2 linked regions of the Diceros bicornis minor genome follow. The protein of the gene in region 2 interacts with the protein of the main gene of each other region in a biochemical or structural test. Links are inferred from orthologs where the notes say so. Each region holds a gene or a part of one and is shown on either strand. Other genes may lie near its edges.

Region 1 (7,295 bases), on a different chromosome or scaffold from region 2:
CACCACCGTCCTGCTATCTCTCACTCATCCTTCAAGACGCCACTCAGACAGTTCTAGGAGGCCTTTCCTGATCCGAATTCAAGTTGGGGAGCCCCGTGGTCTGCTCTCACAGCCCATCATACTTCCCACAATAAACCGTAATCTACTCAATCTTAAGGGCCCACTGCCTGCTTATTTCTCTGTAAATTCTGGGGCTGCAGAGGCCATGTCTGTCTTGTTTGCTGCTCTATTCCCAGAGCTACCCACAGGGACTGGTAAACACTCAATAACTATTTTGTAAATAGACCTACAAGTGAATATATAACATCCCCCCACAAAACATGTTGCAGGAAGAAATAAGAGAATTAAGCCCCAGTTCTTAAGGGGAGGGACTATACCTCAGTCACATCTGTCCCCTGAATCACTCAGCCTAATGCAGAAACCAGTACTGGGTAAGCAAGCCTAATTGTATACTCTTGCATTCTCTATGTCTGTTTTTCTTGTGTTCTCTCTGAACACTCACTAAAGTCTTTGTGAAAGTTCCACGCTGGCTCAGTTGACTAAGAGGAATCAAGTAAATGAAGGGTTTGCTCCCAAGTTAAGACCAGAGAATGAAAAGGGAAACAGCACACACTCTGGAGGCTGCTATGGGATGGACAGCAGTAACTGAAGGATGAGGGAGACAGAAGAGGAAAGGGTGCCTGGCAATATGTCAAACAAAAGTCTCATGACCTGGTACACATGGCAAAAAATGGCCTCTGTATCAATGGAACCCATCAGAGGAGCCATCCACAGACCCAAGACTCACCTGCTGGTGACAATGATGACATCCTCTGCGATGCAAGACATCTCCTTGATGGTTAAGTAGCACATCCGACGGAGGGTGGGCTGGAAAAGAGATGGGAAAAGCCCTATGACCCCTGGCTCAGCATGAGGGCCAGGGAAAGGAAAAGAAAACTCCAATCGACACAAAGGCAGTCCACACTGACAGATGGAGTCACCTTCCCCTGGCCCTCCCACCACCCTGTCACAGCTGTCCCCTCTTGAGGAAATCTGGGGGTGGGGCACTTACATCGTTGGACTGAAAGAGCTTGGTCATGGCAAAGAAGGCCTCCGTTGCTTCAGTGGTCCCCAGGTGCTCCCCCTATTTTAATCAAGAAAGAAGTCTCAGCCTGGGACAAAGGGGCCAGAAGGCCCTTCCTGCCAAATCAGCCCAGGATGGATCCTCAGACCGTGCAGAGGTTCCATTAAAGGCAACATATCAGAGTTGGACGCTGAGGGGACCCAGAGCTGGGCCATTGGTTATAACCACACGGTGGCTGTCAAACAGCCCTTAGGCAACTCCCAACATCCCCCAATACCGTTTTCCCCAACCTCAAGTCTCACCCTGTTACCTGGTTTATGAGGTAAAGGATCTTGGTGAGGATATGGGCACATTTCCGAGGGTTGATGGGAGTTTCGTTAAATACACGGGCCTGAGAAGAAGTGACCAAGGATATTAACCTCCAGCCCAACTTATTTCCCTTCCATTGACTCCCCTCAAGCACATTCAATGTCTGAGAAGACCTGGAATACATAAATACACTTGCCTAGACAAGCTTATTCTCATAAGGAAAGAGTTTTGGTTTTTTCCTCTTAATTCATCTATTAACAACTCCTGAAATCTTCCCTAAATATTAATTAGGAATGCGCTGACTTATTGACTAACAGATACTAGTAAACACTTGTTAACTAGAAAGAGAAATGAAGAACAACAACAACAAAAGTGTCAGCATAACGAACTCTCTTCAGGAACAAAGTTTTTCTGTCTTTCCAGGAACAGGTTTCTCTCCTATTGTTTTTTAAACCAGCAGTTTGAATGTATTAGTATTTCGATCGCATCAATCATGAACATTTATGCAATCATGAACATTTATGATGGAAGATACAGGGGAGCAAACGACACTTGCCTCCTGGAGTACTGCACTCTTCTCAAGGTGCTGGAATGGGTTGGAGCCTCCACCTACAGTCAGAGAACAGAGAAGACCAAATTCAGGTTATGACCCTGAATTCTAGCAAGATGTCCCTATCGTCTACCTAGTCAAGTTGCAACTCCTCTGGCATGGCAATCAAAGCTTTACAATCTGCCTATAGATACAACAGCTCTCCTGCAAGGGGGCTCCACTCTACCCCAAACCACTTACTCACAGTCACCTAGCGGCCCTGGGACCATCCTTCTGTTCCTCTCATAGTGTCCTGCTTTGCATTCATTTATGCAATTGGTACCTAACTGAGTCCCTACTGTGTGCAGGGACCACCATCTCCCCAGTAACTAGGGTTCCTTCACAGCACGTGTCACATTTGTAATTAATTACATGTGTGATTATCTGATCCATCTCTGCCTTCTCCACTATGCCTGCTATCATTCTAAAATTCCCAGCTCAAGCACTGAGTGTCTCACTTGTTCTACTGCAGTATCAGGACACAATACCGTGCGTGGCATGCAGTAAGCACTCAACATACGTTTGCTGAGTAAAAGAATGAAAGAGTCAGGGTTCTCAGCCACTGGACACCGGCTCCGCAGACTGCGCCCCAGTTTGGACAACACCAACGCAGCCCCGGCGAATCCCAAGAGTTCGGATGGAGAAAACAACAAAGGAGCATCTGGCTCGGTCCCCTCCCCTGACAGATGGGGAAACTGAGGCCCAGAGAGGCGCGTGACGCGCCCATGGTCACCCAGAGAATCGCAGCCCAAGCTTGCGAGTGGAAGGGCCGTGGAGCATGCTCGGGCTCTCCGAGGCCTGCCACTGACCAGCGGTGGACCTTCGCACATGCCCCTGCCGAGGGGGCCCCCTCATTGGGCCTCGGCCTCGGATAGGACAGAGGCCCCAACGGAGGGCTCCCAGGGAGGATGCTGAGAGCCTGCGCGGGGGTCCGGCCTCCCCTAGGCCTAAGCACAGGCATGGGACTCCTCACCTGATTCCTCGTCCTTCTTGTCGAATTTCTTCAGCATGGTGGTGCCGGCGAGGGCGCAACACAGTAACTCTGTCCTGGGACGTAGCAGCGACCAACAGAGACACTGCGGCGGTTCCGCACAGGCCACTTCCGGCTGGCCACGTAGCCCTGCGCTCTGCGCACGCGCACTCTGAGCTCTGCGCACGCGCATATTCCGGACGCGCAGCCCCGTCCGACGTTAACCCTGTCCCGGCCGGGGAGGCTGGGGAGCCGGGGCCGAGGGCTGGGGGGGGCGGCAGGCAGGTGGAGGCCTCAGACTGGGCACCCTAACTCTGCGCCTTGAGCCCCCCTTATCGTACAGTGGGAGTAGTAGTCGTCCCTGCCTCACTGCGTTGTGGCGGGAGTTTAAACTGGCTTTCGGAGGTGAGGCCCCGCAGCACACCGGCCCGGAGCAGACACCCAGTTAATGATACCTGTGGTTGTTATTATTGTCACATTCTCGGGAGCTCTCGCTAGCCACTCCTCACTTTCAGTCCCCTTCTCCTGCCTGATTTTTTTTCCTAGCTCGAATCACCACCTAACACTGTATTCTTACTTTATTGCTTTTATTGTCTTTTATTCTCTGCCGTGGATGACGTTGGCATGTAGCAGGTGCTCAGTAAATTCTTGAGCGAATTAATGCATGAACTTGCTCTTATAATTCATATCTGCCCACTCCCTATCACATCTGCTCTTGGTGCAAATTGTTTTGTATTTTGTTGACTTTCAGGAATCCAACTAAAATAAAAGATCAGCATAGAGACTTCAATGTTGCTTTTTTGGGTATTTATCGAGCACCTTACTAGATCCGCCGCTTAGCGCTGGGGACAGGAAGGGACTGGAAGGGGAAAACGAAACGTCACGCAGGGTGTATCTTCCTGGGGACCTACGCAGAACACCTCGAGGCCAAGGTAAGGACGGTGCGTGCAGACGTGCCAAATTGCATTTGCTACGGCAAAGCCGAGTCAGGATGACCCAGCGCTGCGACGCGTGGCACCAGCTTTCCTGGGGAGAGGGCAGCCTGAAGCCCAGCGACGAGGAGAAGGAGCCCTGGTGAGCCAGAGGTGGAGAGGCGCGGCAGGAGGCGGGGGCAGAGGCTGGCGGGTGAAGCAGAAGGGGGTGACAGCAAAGTGGGAGGAGGGGTGATGGCAGAGGGGCCACCCTTTGGGGTCAGACTTTGCGGAGGCTGAGTCTGGTGGCTGGGGAAAAGCAGGGGATGGGGAGAGGAGATCTTGTGCCAACGTGAAATTGTCAAGAGCCGGAAAGATGTTCAAAATCTTTAACCAGAAACCCCACCCCTTATCCGGGGAAATCATCCAAAAGAAGAAAATAAAGGTGCCCACTGCAGCAGTTTGCAGCAAGATAATTGAAAACACTCTAAATGCCCAGCAATAAGGGGATGATTAAGGGAATTATGGTATGTCTATTGGATGAAATATTCCACACCCTTTATAAAGGGATAAATGAATTTCTGACCACTTGGGAGGCAATATGCAAACTTCTTATAATAAATGAGACATTAAACAAGAAAAGCAGAGTGTAAAAGTATTCATAATTAAGGTGAAATAAAGATGCCTCGTGGTTAAAAACCAGAAAAGAACCCCAGAGATTTGGATTGTTGTGTTAAGATGATGAAATACAGATGAGTTGTGTTAGGTTAAAATATCCTGTTATGATATTAATTCTATAAAACTAGATACCAAGGACAATTTTGACAATACCTTTCTGAGAATGAGAATTGTGTGTTGTGACTCCAGCTCTAAGTATGTATAATTGTAGGGTTTTTATTATTTTTTAAATGTAATATACATTCTTCGTGATAGTCACTAAGTCCTTTGTAGATAATCACTAAGTCCTTTGTAGAAACAGAGAACACTGAAAGTACAGGAGAAACCAGGGACATTTTAAGACGATTGGGAGGTTGTACCAATATCCATATCCTGGTTATGATAGTATTTAATAATTTTACTAGTATTTAAAAATTGAGAAATAATCCACATACCATAAAATTCACCCTTTTAAAGTATACAATTCAGTGGTTCCTAGTATATTCAAAAAGCTGTGTACCCGTCATCACTAATTCCAGGACATTTTCATCATGCCCAAAAGAAACCTGTATGCATTAGCGGTCTTTTTCCATTCCTCACTCTCCTTCCTGATACCCCCAAAACTGTGAATCTACTTTCTGTCTCTATGGATTTGCCTATTCTGAATATTTCATATAAATGAAATCATACAATATGTGGCCTATTGTGTGTCTGGCTTCTTTCACTTAGCATAATGTTTTCAAGGTCTGTCCATGTCGTAGCATGAATCAGTACTTCATTCCTTTTTATTGCTGAATAATATTCCATTTTATGGATGTACCGTATTTTGTTTATCCATATATCAGTTGATGGACATTTGGGTTTCCACTTTTTGGCTGTGAATAATGCTGTTTCAAACATTTGTGTACAAGTTTTTGTGTGACGTATGTTTTCTCTTGAGTATATACCTAGGAGTAAAAATGCTGGGTCATATGATAACTATATTTAACTTTTTGAGAAACTGCATCAGCACCACTTTATATTCCCACCAGCAATAAGGGTTCCAATTTCTCTACATCCTTGCTCACACTTGTTATTGTCTTTTTGGTTATAGCCATCCTAGTGGGTATGATGTAGTACCTCATTGTAGTTTTAATTTGCATTTCCCTGATGGTTAAAGATGTTGAACATCTTTTCAGGTGCTTACTGGCCATTTGTATATCTTCTTTGAAGAAATGTCTATTCACATCCTTTGCCCGTTTCAAAATTGGGTTACTTATCTTTTCTTTTTTGTGTGTGTGAGGAAGACCAGCCCTGAGATAATATCCAACGCCAACCCTCCTCTTTTTTGCTGAGGAAGACTGGCCCTGGGCTAACATCCATGCCCATCTTCCTTTACTTTATGTGGGACGCCGCCACAGCATGGCTTGACAAGCAGTCATCTGTGCACGTCCGGGATCCGAACCTGCAAACCCAGGGCCACGGAAGCGGAGCACACGCACTTAACCGCTGTGCCACAGGGCCAGCTCCGGGTTACTTATCTTTTTACCTTAGAGTTGTAAGAGTTCTTTATATATTCTGGATGCTAGACCCTTATCAGATATAGGATTTGCAAATATTTTCTCCCATTCTATGGGTTGTCTTTTCACTTTCTTTATAGTGCGCTTTGAAGCACAGAAGTGTTTTATTTATTTATTTATTTAATTTATTTGTGTGTGTGTGTGTGTGTGTGTGTGTGTGTGTGTGTGAGGAAGATCAGCCCTGAGCTAACATCCATGGCAATCCTCCTCTTTTTTGCTGAGGAAGACTGGCCCTGGGCTAACATCTGTGACTATCTTCCTCCACTTCATATGGGACGCCGCCACAGCATGGCCTGACAAGCAGTGCATCAGTGCGCACCCGGGATCCAAACCCAGGCCGCCAGCAACAGAGCGCACACACTTAACCACTATGCCACAGGGCTGGCCCCCAGAAGTTTTTTATTTTGATGAGGTCCGATTTATTTATTTTTCTTTGTTGCTTGTGCTTTTGGTGTCATATATAAGAAATCATTGCTTCAGAGCCACCCCGGGGCGTAGTGGTTAAGTTTGCATGCTCTGCTTTGGCAGCCCGGGGTTCACAGGTTTGGATCCCAGGCATGGACCAATGCACTGCTTGTCAAGCCGTGCTGTGGCGGCATCCCGTATAAAGTAGAGGAAGATGGGCACGGATGTTAGCCCAGGGCCAGTCTTCCTCAGCAAAAAAAAAAGAGGAGAATTGGCATCAGGTATTAGCTCAGGGCTGATCTTCCTCACACACACACACACACAAATCATTGCTTAAACCAAGGTCATGAAGATTTATCTCTATGTTTTTTTCTAAGAGTTTTATAGTTTTACCTCTTACATTTAGGTCTTTGGTCAGTTTTGAGTTAGTTTTTGTATATGGTGTGAGATAGGGGTCCAACTTCATTCTTTTGCTTCTTGATGTCCAGTTGTCCTAGCACCATTTGTTGAAAAGACTATTCTTTCCCTTATTGAATTGTGTCATCACCTTTGTCAAAAATCAATTGACCATAAGGTATAGGTTTGTTTCTGGACTCTTGCTTCTATTCCGTTGATCTGTATACTATAGTTCTGCAAGACGTTACCATTGGGGGAAACTGGGTAAAGTACACAGCATCTCTCTGTATTATTTCTTACAACTGCTCATGAATCTACAATTATCTCAATAAAATTTTAATTTAAAAAAAGCAGAGATTATTTCTATGGTACCTTCTCACCACCCTCACCACAACCACCCCCACCCCAACGCCCCCAGCTAAAAGAACTATTGTGT
Region 2 (7,651 bases):
GGGGAGAGGAGAAATTAAGAGTTAAGTATGACTTGCCTATTAGTCATCTAAGTGGAGCTGTCAAGGAGGGAGCCTGATATAGACTCTGAAATTTAGGGGAGAGGTCAGGGCTGGAGATCCACATGTGGGAGTTATCGGCCCATGGATGCATTTAAAGTCATGAGACTGGGTGAGATCACCCAGAGTGCAGCGCAGAGGTTCCAGAACGAGGTCCTGGGGGACTCTAGAACTTAGAATCACTCTCTGTGTCAAAGAGTATGACACGACAAATATTGCCAAATTGCTTTCCAAAAGGGTCTTTTGTGTCTTCACGGAACCCATTTTGTTTTAGCTATTTAAAGACACATTGAGTGGCACTGTACACAAGGATGGGCAGGGACACCAGAGTTAGGGATCCTTGACTGCTCTTGCATTGGAGCTGGGGAGCCTCAAGTCACACCGGAGGATTATGCTGGTTACAGGAGGTGTCCAGAGGGCCAAAGCGCTTCAAGGACTCCCAACCAGAGAATCATCCAGCAAGCTTATTACAAATGCAGATTTTTAATAAGAGCTCCTGATTCACTGTCTGGGGTGAGGCATATTTTAAACATGCTCCCTGGGCCGGCCCCGTGGCTTAGCGGTTAAGTGCGCGCACTCCACCGCTGGCGGCCCAGGTTCGGATCCTGGGCGTGTATTGACACACAGCTTCTCCGGCCATGCTGAGGCCGCGTCCCACATGCAGCACCTAGAAGGATGTGCAGCTATGACATGCAACTATCTGCTGGGGCTTTGGGGAAAATAAATAAATAAATATTATAAAAATAAACAAATAAAAAAAAAATAAACATGCTCCCTCTCAAACAAAGGAAAGGTTGAGAAACTTGTGGCTTAGGGATACACTGGGTAGAGGGTATGTCCTTGTGACAGCTCTTCACCTCTGGAGGCTCCAGGGCCTTCAGGAATCTTAGGTGGGTCTGGCTGGGGAAGTTTCAGGATGATGGGATGACAGACTACTGAGCCAGGAAGAAACATTTTCTCTCCTTGTGGGACAGTTTCCTTTGCTCTCCAATTCAGAAGGAGGCCTTTTCCCCACACAGATGCAAACAGTACCTTCTGTAATGCAGATGCAGAGATTAAAAGTTTGAGTTCCCCTGAAGTATCTACTCTGCCCTCTAGTTCCACAGCGTAGAGGAGAGAATGTTTGTGTTTTTGTTTTGTGTCCTTATACGGAAACAAGAATAGATTTTTCAATCAAAAAAAAGATATGCAGGGGCCGGCCGATGGCGCAAACAGTTAAGTGCGCACGCTCCGCTGCGGTGGCCCGGGGTTTGCTGGTTCGGATCCCAGGCACACACCGACACATCGCTTGGCAAGCCATGCTGTGGCGGCGTCCCATACAAAGTGGAGGAAGATGGGCATGGATGTTAGCCCACAGCCAGTCTTCCTCAGCAAAAAGAGGAGGATTGGCAGATATTAGCTCAGGGCCGATCTTCCTCACCAAAAAAAAAAAAAAAAGATATACATATTGTTGGTGAAACTGAAATCGTACCTACACTTTAGATACATTGTGGATTAAATAAATTTGTGTGAAAATAGCTAAAGAATAACAGAAGGAATTTACTGTTAGGCCTTCTACTAGGAACTAATGAATCAATCCTGCATTCACTGAACCATTATTTATTGTGCCTTCTAAGTGCTGGGCACTATTTTAGATTCAGAAGACAAAGCAGTGGACAAAATAGACAAAAATCCCTGCCCCTCACAAAACAGATATCCTAGTTAGGGAGACAGATTAACAAACATGATAAATAAATACAGTCATCCCCTCTTCCACGTGGAGGATACATTCCGAGACCCCCAGTGGATGCCTGAAATGGCACATAGTACTGAATCCTATAGTACTTTTTTCCTATACATACAAATTTGAGGTGTGACGGCAAAATTAGCACCAATTTCTTTTTCCTTCTTTACAATTTCATGGATAGAAGATTCATTCTTACCATAGTTCTTAGCAACCTCAGCATACCAGGTTCTTATTTTTTCTTATTAAGTCGAGAACTATCACTTTTTCACTTACAGGAAGCACTTTATGGCTTCTCTTGGCATATCCAAATTGCCAGCATCACTACTCTTGCGCTTTGGGACCATTATTAAGTAAAATAAGGGTTATTTGAACACAAGCACTGCGATACCTCAACAGTCAATCTGATAACGGAGACGGCTACTAAGTCACTATCTGACGAGTGGTGTACACAGCGTGTATACGCTGGACAAAGCGATGATTCATGTCCTGGGCACGCTATTACTCAGAATGGCGGGCAATTTAAAACTTGCAAATTGTTTATTTCTGGAATTTTCCATGTAATATTTTCAGACCACTGTTGACCGAGGGTAACTGAAACTATAGAAAGCAAAACTGCAGATAAGGGGGGACTACTGTAAAATGTATGCTGTACTAGATAGTTGTGAGTGCTAAGGAGCGGAACATAAAGGAGGGAAGCAAAACAGGAAAGAGTTGGGGGTCTGGATAAGTGAGAATATAGGACAAGAAAGGACTTGAGAGCTGTGATTCAGGAAAGTAACTCAATTTCTCTAAGTCTCAGTTTCTTTATCTGCAAAATAATAAATAATAGCGCCTTCCTGAAAAAGGCTCAGGGCCTCAGACTGACTGTGTCACCTTACTGTGAGACTTTGGGGACAAAAGTTCTTTGGCCTCTCAGAACCTAAGTTTCCTCATCTGTAAAAGGAACAGACTTGCCCAGCCTATGTCTCATGGCTTTTGAAAATGTCAAATGAGATAATTAATGTATGAAAAAATATTTTAAAACATATAAGCTATTACAGAAATGTAAGATAGGAGGAGCTGGCCCCGTGGCTTAGCGGTTAAGTGCGCGCGCTCCACTACTGGCGGCCCGGGTTCGGATCCCCGGCGCGCACCGACGCACCGCTTCTCCGGCCATGCTGAGGCCGCGTCCCACATACAGCAACTAGAAGGATGTTCAACTATGACATACAACTATCTACTGGGGCTTTGGGGATAAAAAGGGGAAAAAAAAAAAAGAGGAGGATTGGCAATAGATGTTAGCTCAGGGCCCATCTTCCTCAGCAAAAAGAGGAGGATTGGCATGGATGTTAGCTCAGGGCTGATCTTCCTTACAAAAAAAAAAAAAAATGTAAGATAGAAATTTATGGGTTGCAAAGCTCTTGCAGATGGTCACCAGAGCCTCAGGACTCTGAGAAAACAATGAATTAGATAACTGCTTGATACTGATTCCCTGCACTGGCAGAGAAAAGGCTAACACAAATTATCAGGATGGACTGAGTAGACCAGCAATCTTATCTTACATCAGGGATAAAATAATCAAACTAAATGTTCCTAAGTGGACACCTCATAAAATAATTTTTATATGACATTTGTCAAATTTTAAAATGCTTTACAGCTCCTTTATGTTTGTTCTTGTTTTGTTTGTCGGACTTCAGTTCCAGGAAAAGAACTAGATGGACAAAGGAGTTACAAATACAGAGCAATCATTTAAATTACTAAGAGCAGATAGTCCATCTTCTGGGTTTTTCTGCAGATGCTCAACAAATATTAATCAAAGCAGATTATTCCAAACATAGGCTGTTGTGTATTCCTTTTTCATCTTCATATTTTCTGCAGCCATGAAAATTTGATAGCATCCCAGTGGTGGTGTGTTAAATCAACAAACATGTTGGTATACCTGCATGGTATAGTGGCTGGCACATACTAGGTATTCAGCAAATATTTGTTAAACTAAAGCAAGAATGATTACTGTGTAAATTTGCTTACTATAGACCAGCCAATTTGATTCCTAAAGTGTTTGGGCATTTAACACACAGAAATACTTGCTTTCCCTTGACGACACTTACCTGGTAAACCGCATTAGGTCCATCTCTCAGGCTGGACTAAAACAGAGTGTTTTATTCAATTTAAATACAAAATCCAAATTTAGTTTGAGTATTGCCTACCATCGTAGGCGCTCAATGTTTGCTAAATAAGATACACATTCAGAAAGCAGTTACTCCAGCCCAAATACCCCGCTCAAGAGCATGAACTGGACGCCTGCCCAGCTCACATTCACCAGGAGACCTCTACATTCTCTGAGGTACTGGCTCCCCTCGCCTGATAACCGAATTATAATCTGTCGTTCAGCCTCTCGACGTTTTCCTCTCAAGCGCCCAACGTCCCAGCTGTCACCAAGGCGGCGTGGTGCTGGGACAGCTCACTCTCCACCTCCGCCGCAGCCCCCGCCCCGCGCGCTTCCGCGGCCGATGGGCGGGCCCAGCGAAGTGCCTTGTGGCTGTTTCCTATTGGGACTTGGTTGCTATGGTATCACCGACCTTAAAACACGACCGGCACTGCTTCCGGAAGTTAAAGGAGAATTACTTCCAGGGCTGCACATACTTGCTATGGCCAACTGAGCCGTCACTAATGTCAAAAAAAATAAAACTTTTGCGGGAAACTCCTAGAAAATCTTACTTAACCACTTTAATTTGTGGTACAACGTGTTATTATATCCTTTCTTCCCTTTTAAAATATTTACAATATAGTCTTCTTTTATTTGCCAGTCTCCAAAATGGCGCTGACGGCATGGGAAGGTCAGAGGTGAGTCACGTGGGCCGTCCCGGTTCCGGCGCGGTAGAGGCCCGGGGTGGTGAACAGTCTCCGGCACCATGTCTGGTTTGTCTGGCCCACAGGCGCACGGTGGCCCTTGCCGGTTAGCGTTGCTGCTTTTACTCCTGCTCGGCCCCAGCTCGGTCCTCGCCATCTCCTTCCATCTGCCCGTTAACGCCCGCAAGTGCCTCCGCGAGGAGATCCACAAGGACCTGCTGGTGACCGGCGCGTACGAGATCACCGACCAGTCTGGGGGCGCTGGCGGCCTGCGCACCCACCTCAAGGTGCGGCTCCGGGCGGCGCGGGGCGGGGAGGGCAGACCGCAGGCGTCGGCCAGCCGAGGCCGAGGATGCGGGGGGTGTGGGGGAGGTCCGGCGGGCGGAGGCCTGGAGGGCGGCGTGGCCTCCCCCGAGCGCGAAGGGCGCGCCGTGGAGACCGCCCCCTCACCCTGCTCGTTGGCGTTCGCGGGGCGGAGCTGGGCGCCAAAGCCCCGGGAACCCGTGGAAGGGCCGCGAGGCCTCGGCAGATGTGGCGACAGCTGAGCTAGGGCGGCCTAGACTTTGGGTCGTGGTCAAGGTCCTATACCAGTTCTGGTCTGAGGTACCTTGAGCTGTAGCTTGGTTTTCCAAAGAAGTCTTTGGATGTTGAGTATTTCTGGGGATTGGCGTCATAAGACACATTGATACCTGCAGGAGAATAATGGACGCACTGAAGCTTACTGTGAATAACAAAACCTATTATTGTTGGAGCTTTAGTTGTGTGTCAGGTCCTGTGCTACCTTACGTATATTACCGTTTAGTTCACACACTACCCTATGAAGTAGGTACTGTTCGTCTCATTGTACACATGAGGAGACTGAGGCTCTGGTAGGTAGTAGAATAAACTGATGTCAGAGCGGGAATTGATTCTTAGTTTGGGAGTTAAGTAAGGTGAAGGAAAAGTGCTACAATCTTACTCTCTCTTGGCTTTTTATTTTTAATTCCTGTGATTGATTAAAATTAATTATTGGTCACAGAATGGTCTCAGTCTCTAGTCATTTTCTGGTACCCCAGAATCTGGACTTGGCCAAGTTTTATGTAAATTTCGACGATACTCTTGGATAGTGACAACTACTACCATGATGCCAATTTGGTCCCATTTTGCAGTTAGGATGACAGGGCCTAATCTTTGAAACTTTATTATGGTTTGATATCAGTCAAGATTTGATTGCGTTTTAGGTAACTTGATTCATTCACGGTAAGCATGTGTTTTGTTTTTAACAGAATGGGTTTTAGATCAAATAGGAAAAAACATTTTTACTTTTTAATAGAGCTTCAGGTATAATAAGACCATAATTTATGTTTAAGGTATTGGAACCCAGTAGTGGTAATAGACGCAATTTACTTATACTTTATTTAGGAGATTAAAAAAACATTGTTTTCAGGGGTATTGCTGAGTGACCCATCCTTTTATTACTTTCTTCAGGTACCAAACTTCTGTCTGGACAAGACAGCTGTGATGGCATAATTTTGGAGACATAACATTTTGGGGGTCATGCTTCTGGCTCTTCAAAGTGTAGTGCATAGAATCAGAGAATTTGACTGATGAAAGAGACTTTACTCTTATCTCCAGTGTTGCCCCCTCTGATTTGTACTTACATTTTAAAACCCTTCAGTGGCTCACTGTTGCTCATCTGATAAAGTTTAAATTTCCCAGCATGCTCTGTAGTGCTCTTCATGGTCTGTTCCTGAAACTGTTTATACTTTGTCACTCCCTACATTGCATTTTGCATATGAGCCACCCTGAACAGTACCCTAAACTCACACAAATTTTTCTTAATTGTAACTACTTATGTTTATACCTTGTCTTCTTTATTAGACTGTTAGTATCCTGAGGACAGGAATTATTTTCATGTTTGTATTTTCCAGAATGTCAAGCGTACTGCCTTGCTTCTAGTAAGCACTTAATACAGAATGCATAGTGTAGCATGACCTTGTGGGATTTACATCTCTATCCAAGACTGCTGAAGGGGCTTCAACAGCAGGAGTCTGCACATCTGTTCGCTAGCATTTTGCCCGTCACTCTGTTCCTTTTGCCGTGTCTGCTCTGTTCTCCTGTGACTAACCAGTTTAGTTGGACTACTCCTGGCGTCCTAAACCCAAATGCCAAGTAGGTTACATAAGTGAATGAATTGGGCCAGGTATAAGAAAGACAGCAGCAGTGGTGATAAATGGGGGATAATTGGGAGTAGGGGAAACTGTTAATTTGGAGTGGCCAGTACTCATCTCTTGTTGTCGGCCTTGTTGCCACATCTGATTTTTCAGATGAAGTCAGAAATCCAGATTTTGATGTGAAAGCTCCTGATTTTTAAATGTCACCAACTAATTCAAATTGGTTTTGGCATTGGTTTGTTTTCAGTTTTATAGAGAAGAGTACGGTCAGTCCAACATTTACACATGACCCAGATTCAACAGTTATCAGGGTCGTGCCACACTTGTGTCTTAATTGCTTCCGCCTTCTCATTTTATGCTGAATCGTTTTATTTTTTTTTTAAAGATTTTATTTATTTATTTATTCCCCCCCCCCCCCAAAGCCCCAGTAGATAGTCGTATGTCATAGCTGCACATCCTTATAGTTGCTGTATGTGGGACACGGCCTCAGCATGGCCGGAGAAGCGGTGCATCGGTGCGCACCCGGGATCCGAACCTGGGTCGCCAGCAGTGGAGCGCGCTCACTTAACCGCTAAGCCACGGGGCTGGCCCTGCTGAATCGTTTTAAAGTAAATCCCAGATATCATGGTATTTCAGTCCTGCATACTTCAGCGTGAATCTCTTAAAAAATATGAGCATAATCACAGTGTTATGTGTCTCTAATCACATCTCACAAAATTAACAATAATTCCTTAATGCCATCTAATAATACCCAGTTCATATTCAAATTTCTTCACTTGTCTCAAAAATATCCATTTAAAATTAATCTGTTGTATTTCTCAAGTCTCTTTAATCTAGAGCAATCCACTCTTCCTTTTTTTCATGCTTGTTGTGTTGTTGGAGTCAG

Evidence for each region. The genes of interacting proteins can lie anywhere in the genome.
Region 1: the proteins of TMED10 (region 2) and COPG1 form a complex in vitro, tested with the Homo sapiens proteins (2 studies listed by BioGRID). The link is inferred for Diceros bicornis minor from reciprocal best matches to the Homo sapiens genes TMED10 and COPG1.

Annotation. Positions count from the first base shown.
Region 1 is NC_080741.1:89,474,284-89,481,578, reverse strand, and holds the start of COPG1 (coatomer subunit gamma-1), read right to left. Parts: upstream 3,057-7,295; 5' UTR 2,972-3,056; coding exon 2,935-2,971; intron 1,982-2,934; coding exon 1,929-1,981; intron 1,455-1,928; coding exon 1,374-1,454; intron 1,124-1,373; coding exon 1,052-1,123; intron 868-1,051; coding exon 788-867; intron 1-787. UniProt on the Homo sapiens protein: The coatomer is a cytosolic protein complex that binds to dilysine motifs and reversibly associates with Golgi non-clathrin-coated vesicles, which further mediate biosynthetic protein transport from the ER, via the Golgi up to the trans Golgi network.
Region 2 is NC_080763.1:23,112,703-23,120,353, reverse strand, and holds the start of TMED10 (transmembrane emp24 domain-containing protein 10), read left to right. Parts: upstream 1-4,639; 5' UTR 4,640-4,674; coding exon 4,675-4,899; intron 4,900-7,651. UniProt on the Homo sapiens protein: Cargo receptor involved in protein vesicular trafficking and quality control in the endoplasmic reticulum (ER) and Golgi.